Linked DNA regions of Caenorhabditis elegans. The protein of the gene in region 1 purifies or fractionates together with the protein of each later gene. This does not show direct contact. Each region holds a gene or a part of one and is shown in the gene's direction. Other genes may lie near its edges.

The links. The genes of interacting proteins can lie anywhere in the genome.
Region 2: the proteins of dut-1 (region 1) and Y48G1C.5 fractionate together in Caenorhabditis elegans (co-fractionation; one large-scale study listed by BioGRID). This does not show direct contact.

The regions. Positions count from the first base shown.
Region 1 is NC_003279.8:9,583,326-9,587,080, forward strand, and holds the start of dut-1 (dUTP diphosphatase), read left to right. Parts: upstream 1-2,091; 5' UTR 2,092-2,095; coding exon 2,096-2,476; intron 2,477-2,522; coding exon 2,523-2,644; intron 2,645-2,690; coding exon 2,691-3,036; intron 3,037-3,085; coding exon 3,086-3,207; intron 3,208-3,253; coding exon 3,254-3,620; intron 3,621-3,671; coding exon 3,672-3,755. Other genes in the region: K07A1.1 (uncharacterized protein), read right to left, coding at 1-136; K07A1.13 (uncharacterized protein), read right to left, coding at 652-776, 849-938, 988-1,117, 1,166-1,252, 1,308-1,406.
Region 2 is NC_003279.8:62,383-66,137, reverse strand, and holds the start of Y48G1C.5 (Tyrosine-protein phosphatase domain-containing protein), read left to right. Parts: upstream 1-2,071; 5' UTR 2,072-2,116; coding exon 2,117-2,120; intron 2,121-2,165; coding exon 2,166-2,234; intron 2,235-2,281; coding exon 2,282-2,341; intron 2,342-3,163; coding exon 3,164-3,364; intron 3,365-3,755.

The DNA.
Region 1 (3,755 bases):
TCTCCATTTTTTTGGTGAATTTTGGAATATAAACAAGAGCTGGGAAAACATCACAGTTTTCCGTCGAGACTTGTAGTTTGCGGTCGACGCACTCTTCGATTGATTCGTTGACGATCAAAAACTTTCCTTTTCTCATGGGTTTACCTGAAAAGTGGCTAAAACGAAAGTAAAAAGAAAGAAATCAAGCGAGTTGCTTTGGAAAAAAAGTAAAAAACATTCGAATTTTTAAGGCACACGGAGATGTAGAGCAAGCGGGTCTCGCCACGACAAAAATTTATACGGTATTTGCCTTCAAATTTGTTTTATATTTCTGCTTGCCCTTTTTTCTTTTCCGCTTTCTTTCTGGTTTTTCATTGCAAGTTTCAGATTTTAAACGTGTTTTTTTTCATTGAGAAAAGTTTAGATTTTAAAAATAAGTTGCACATATCTTTCTGTTATTTCATTGGTCTCTAGCAACATATTTATAGCTTCCATCACAAATTAATTTGCAAATTTCGATGTTTCGATTCTTAAGTACTTTAATTTTAACTTTTTTTACGCGATGCGATTCAATACTTTTTATTTAACTATTAAGAACCAATTATTCCAATAAATACGAAACGAAAAATACAAATGCAAAATATTAATCAATTCTAGATAATTTGTTGAACTTCAAACTTGTACAAATCCCTCTGCTGTCATTTGTGCTATAAGCGCATCATTTCTTCGTTTCTCGTATCTTGCCATGTAGATGTAATGCATTGCTCGACGAGTCCAAATAAGACGTAATCCGCACCCTAGAAATTATATTCAATGCGTTTGTCTTTTCTAATCAGTTTTAAGGTTCCAAATAATCAAATTAAACTAACAAAAGACCAAAGCATATCCGGCAATGATAATCCAAAGGCGGCCTGTTTCAGTGATTCCTGGAAAAGCGGTTGGAATGAGGGATCTCTCAGCTGTAATAATCAAGATTTTATGAAGTTCATAGGATTGATTTTTGCTTACGTTTGAAAGTCTCAAATCCACAAAAAACTAGAAGAATAATGATCTCGAAAGCTCCGGCATAGGCCACAACGAGAAATCCGACAAATAAACTGTAAGATTCCAAGGCCATAAAGAAGAGTTGAAGACCAAGCTGTTAACCAGAAAAATATAATTACTTATGTTTATAAATATCGCTCACTTGGGCAAAAAAATAGTAGTTTTGAGAGAAAATGAGGAACAGGAAGCTGACAATCAGTTCAGCGATTCCCAAAATGATAGCGATTCCCTGAAAAGTTTTGAGTTATTTCATATCGAGCGAAAGCTCTACTAAAAATACTTACTGTAATTGTTGGATCTCCATCATCCTCGGGGAGTCTGTTCAAAGATTGTATGGTTCTATTTCTTCTCGTTCTCTTAGGAAAAATTGTTTGCGACGGCATTTTGTGAGAAGAAAACTTTGAAATCTATGTGTTCAGAGTGAACAAAGGAACATTGAGGGGAGATAGGCGGAGCTTTGTGCCTGTAGAATGTTCTATGCAGCAACAACAAATATCAATTTGAAATCATATCACGAGATGGATGTAAAAATGAATTTGATCAAATGTGTCACTTCCACGATTTTTACAAAATTCATAATGGTATGCAATTTCTCTGGGAATATTGAAGTGCCTTGTTGGAACTGATTCTTGATCAGAATGAGAATATTTTCAGAACAATGTTTGATCGAATTACAGTTTTACTTACTATTAAATAATTCTGAGATGTGACAACAATACTGTACATTTCTGAGATACGAGAATGAAACCACTAGAATTTACAGATGCCCGTCGTCTAATTTTCTCACTCAGTTGTTCTATATCAATTTAATTCTAGACATTCGGTAGTGTTTTCCTTCAATATTTACTTTTTCTTTCATTTCGAATAACAGCCTACATTTGACCACAAACAATGATGCAAAAATGCGCCCCGCTGAAACTTTCAAGCGCGCGAAAATAGTAATTTGAAATTGAATACGAGCGCGCCAAACTCTGATTTTTCTTTGCGTTGTTCTGAAGTTCAATTGATGTCCTTCTCTCATTTTCTCTTCAAACCTCGATTATATCTCCCAACTTTTACTTTTTTGAGGAAGATGACTCTTACCGTTGCTGCTCCCTGCGTCCAAACCGTCACCGAGCCATCAAAAATGGAAATGCAAGCTGAATCAACGTCTCATATAACAATTCGATTCACCGAGATGGTTGGTGATGCTCAAAAGCCAACGTATGGTTCAATTTCATCTGCCGGAGCCGATTTGTACAGCGCTGAAGATGTGGTTGTTCCGGCTAATGGAAAACTGTGTGTTTCAACAGGACTTCAAATTGAACTTCCAATTGGATACTACGGAAGAGTTGCGCCACGATCGGGTCTTGCTGCCAAACACTTCATTGATGTTGGGGCTGGCGTTATCGACAGTGATTATCGCGGTGAAGTCAAAGTTCTACTCTTCAATTTCAACACCACAGCTTTTGAGGTGTCATTCTAATTTGAGAATTCATAGTAATATTTTAATATTTAAGGTGAAAACGGGCGATCGAATTGCTAAATTGATTTGTGAGCAGATTGGAAACGGAACATACGAAGAGGTTAAGAGTTTGCCATCCACGAATCGTGGAGCTGGTGGATTCGGCTCAACTGGAGAGTAAGCAATATTAATTTTCAATTTTCCTCAAACCTGTTAATTTCAGATCTACAATGAACTCCGAAACGGCTAACCCCGCAACAAATTTGGAACGAATTACTGTTCGCTTCACTCAGCTCAACGAGAATGCTCAAACACCGACATATGGGTCTGAAGAAGCAGCTGGAGCCGACTTGTACAGCGCTGAAGACATAACTGTTCCAGCACATGGTAAATGTTGTGTTTCGACAGGAATCCAAATGGAATTGCCATTCGGATACTATGGAAGAGTTGCTCCTCGATCTGGACTTGCTGCCAAACACTTCATCGATGTTGGAGCTGGTGTCATTGATAGTGATTACCGTGGCGAGGTCAAGGTTCTCCTTTTCAACTTCACTGACAATGCCTTTGAGGTGACATTATATTTTTGTCATTCAAAATAATCTTTATTTTATTCTTCAGGTCAAAAAAGGAGATCGAATCGCTCAGTTGATTTGTGAGAAGATCGGTCACTGTGTCTACGAAGCCGCAAGTGAATTGGAGAATACAGACCGTGGAGCTGGTGGCTTTGGATCGACTGGACAGTTCGTTTAAATTTTCGCCTTTGAATACTCATATTTATCTTTTCAGAAATACGATGGAAGCGGAACCAGCTTTGAAAAAATCTAAAACTGAACAAATTAAAACCTCTGCCACATCGGTAACAATCCAAATCACAAAGAGCAACGATAACGCTCAGATGCCAACGTATGGATCAGCCGAAGCTGCTGGAGCTGATTTGTACAGCGCTGAAGATGTCACAGTTCCAGCCCGTGGGAAGTTGTGTGTCTCGACGGGAATTCAAATGGCATTGCCAATCGGATACTATGGAAGAGTTGCTCCTCGATCTGGACTGGCTGCCAAGCATTTCATCGATGTTGGAGCAGGTGTCATCGATAGCGACTATCGTGGAGAGGTCAAAGTTCTTCTTTTCAATTTCGGCGAAAATGACTTTGAGGTATCGGAAACTGTAAAAAACAATTTCGATAATTGTATGATTTCTTTGCAGGTCAAGAAAGGAGATCGAATTGCACAGCTGGTCTGCGAACAAATTGCACTCTGTACTTACTCAAAAGTGGAGAGCCTTGAAGTC
Region 2 (3,755 bases), 9.5 Mb from region 1:
ACTGATAAGAAAGCCTTCCGGGGCCTGAAATCGTACTTTCGCGATAAAGAATTGCTCTTTCTGCGATGTGAACTCCCGTTACATGGTAACCACAATGAAAAACATACATAAAATTCGGGCCGCCCGATAATACATCTCGATAAAACGTTATCGGAATATTCACAAGACTCATGGAGTCGACTTCACACGAAGTTACATACCTTTCACTCGACGAAAATATTCTTCCTTTGGACACGGTCCATCAAAACATGACTTCTTAACGCGCAAAATACCAAAATAGCTTGTGAGAGATAGAGATAGATGTGAGAGATAGTGAGAGATAGAGTAAAATAGGGAGAGGGTGCGCGAGTGCACGAACCGGAAACCGAAAAATTAGAGAAAGTGATAAACGAAAAATTACAGAGGAAAAGAGCGTGGATAAACTAACAATGCTGGAAAGAGCGCGTAAGAGAGAGGGAAGAAACAAATGCGAACATATTTAATCTCCTAGACGAGAGAAGGAACCCCTGAAAGGAGTAGAACACTTACTGAAGCACCTAACAGCGGGGGAAAAAGCCATTGAGCCTCAGAAAGTACTCTTCGTAAGGATTACATGCCAAAAACTGAGAATTTTGATGATTCCTCCTGCAAAATCTGGCATACGCGCAGATAACTCTTGGAAAACGGAGAAATAACCCCCTTTTTATCATTACGAACGAGAAAAACGCTTAAAAACGCAACGGAATCAAGGAAAATCGATAAAAAACCTTAAAACTACTAAAAATTCGATAAAAATACAATAAAAACAAAGAAAAATCCAAAAAAAATCGATGCAAATCGATAAAATCACGTCCTTTTTCTTTACCAACACGTAGAATGACGAAATCTCGCCGCTGCGCGCGAGGAAAGATGTCGTCGCGTCGAGACCTGCCTCTCACTAAAGGCGATGCGCTTTTAAGCTGTCGCTTCACTTTCTCGGGAAAACATACAAATCTTCGGCCAGAAAACTAATGTATTAAACATTGCCACGTATCGGTAAAATCATTTCTAAATTTAATTAATTTCTACAGCTCATTCCAATGGGTTATAGTGACAAAAAACAATGATTTCAGGTCAAATATATAGTTTTTATGAATAAAAAATCATTCTTCGATCAATGATGTTTTAGTCTTAGCCATTTATCCATTGACCTCGAGCCACAATGAACGACATTCCCTCAAATTTTGAATTAAAAAATCATACATTTTCAGACTGAAATTCCGAGAAAAGTAGCCCGAACTTTTTTCTGAAAAAGTTCCTAAATACTCATCAAACATTCATAAACAGTATTTAAACAAAAAATCCCAAGATAACACTTTTGTCTTCAAGATATTCAGGTTGAAAACTAGTGTCCTGAAACTTGTATTTCGGCTCCAAAAAATGTTTAAATCCAAAAAAAAGTTTCAATTTAATTTTGCTCTAATTTGCAAATGATTGCGGGTATTAACGTAAAAGCTAATTATCTGTTTTATCTTCTTAAGGACCCAAAATCCAAGTTTCAGGACATTAGTTTTCAACCTGAATATCTTGAAGACAAAAGTGTTATCTCGGGATTTTTTGTTTAAATACTGTTTATGAATGTTTGATGAGTATATAGGAACTTTTTCAGAAAAAAGTTCGGGCTACTTTTCTTGGATTTTCAGTCTGAAAAATGAAGATGAGGATTCGAAATTCACCTGTAATCTCCATGCTTGTTTTATTTTTTTGTCCGAAAAAATTTTGTAGAGGAGTTATAAGCAAAGGTAAAAATATTGAACGTTTTTTCTTGTACAGTTTTACTGAAATTACAGCTTGAAACACATTCCCTCATGTATCAGCCAAAAATTCAATTCCATTGGAAAAAAAAAGATTTCACGTAATATTAATTTTTTTTTGAAAGGTCAAATTTCGCTGCTTATGTCAAATTTTCTTCGGCCATCTAGTGTTTGACATTCTGTGAGTCCCTAAAACTTTCATAGAAATTAAAATTACAGAAACCGTGACCTTTTCGTTATAAAATAAATAAAAATTCCAACACTCCTTCTCTCAGAATTCACACTTCCAATCATTAATTGATTCAAAAACCGTCGATCAAAGGGAAGTTTCATAATACTTTGCAATGAGTAGGTTGATTTTTATTTTCGTTCCGAATTTCTTCTGTCTTCCAGGAATCAAAATAATAATCGTTTTGATAATTATAACGGTTAATCGTGTTGTCAATTCGGATACTTTCGAAGGTTTCTTGACTGTTTCAGAGCTTTAATTTCAATATATTTTGTTCCAGAAGAATCCAGTTTCTTTAATGTGATGTCATTAGATCCACGTTCCAAACGTGAAGCTAAAGGTTTGTCAGTCGAATTACAGAAAAACAATTTTTACGTTGTATTTGTTGTATATATATGTTAATGTATATTTTGCGTGTCTTGCATAGGCTTAGGCTAACAAGGGAAGTCTTTAAAGCGGCCCGTAGATTTGGGGTTCTCATGTTGATATTCCGATAGAAGAGTGTTAGTTTTGATCTCTCCAAACAATTTAGCTGCCCAAGTCAAGTTTCAGCAAAGTTATGACATTTTGAAATTTCAGTTAAAAACACCATTGAAATCCACTGTCTTCAGCCTATTGTGGTGGGCGTCACATTTTCGGTGTTCACGCAAGCTGATATTTGTGTGGATAGCACTGTAAGACAGTGTATTTCAATGGTGTTTTTAACTGAAATTTCAAAATGTCATTACTTTGCTGAAACTTGGCTTGGGCAGCTAAATTTTTTGGAGAGATCAAAACTAACACTCTTCTATCGGAATATCAACATGAGAAACCCAAATCTACAGGCCCCTTCAAAGACTTTCCTTGTAAGGCTTAGGCTAAGACTTAGGTTAAGTCTTATGTTAGGCTTGGCGTCAGTGGCGAGCGTTAGCTCGCTTTGACAAAAAAGAAAAATTCCTAGAAATTCCTAAAAATCCGAAAAAAGTCAAATTCGGGTCAATTCTCATAAAAAAAATAGCCAAGAAAGGACAAAAAAGACAAAAGTTAAAAAAAAAAAAAGTAAAAAGAGTTCGCGGGGGGTTGGAAAGCTAAACTCGCATGATACGTATAATATACGTAATAATTAATAAAAGAAAAATGACAACAAATAACTTTTTAAAAAAATCATTCATAAAAGTTGCAGATGACAACTTGATAACTGCCGTTGAGCGATTACAATTCGCCTCACGATTGATCAATGCAATGTACCTACAACAAGAATTGACAAAAGGAACCATTCCATCAATGAATTTAACTTTGGATTTGTTCAAATACGATTTCTCAATGGATCAACTGAATGCAATTGACTACAGTTCGCTGGAATCTAAACTGATAGCGCTTAAAGGTTTGGTTGCAAACATTCAAATATTTGAGTATGTTTTTTGTTAGGCAAATACCTTTTTTTGTTTTTTAAAACTACAGTCTACTCGTTCACATAGGGCAGGCAGGTTCCAGGCAGGCCCTGAAACCGCGCCTATCTACCATGGAAGACCTATTTTTACATATTACGATGCAATTATGCAACTATGTTTTCCAGGTTTCAACTTTTCACTACGAATATCTTTTCACTACGAATATAAAATTCAAAAGCTGAAATTTTGGTTTCAAAAAATCCACTGTAGTAACAGATTAGGTGGTAATAGAGTACAGGGGTGGGCGGAAAAAGATTATATAAGGGCCTATGGTAGTAATAGAGTATGGACAATTTGCCGGAATTAAAATTTTCGGTAAATGGG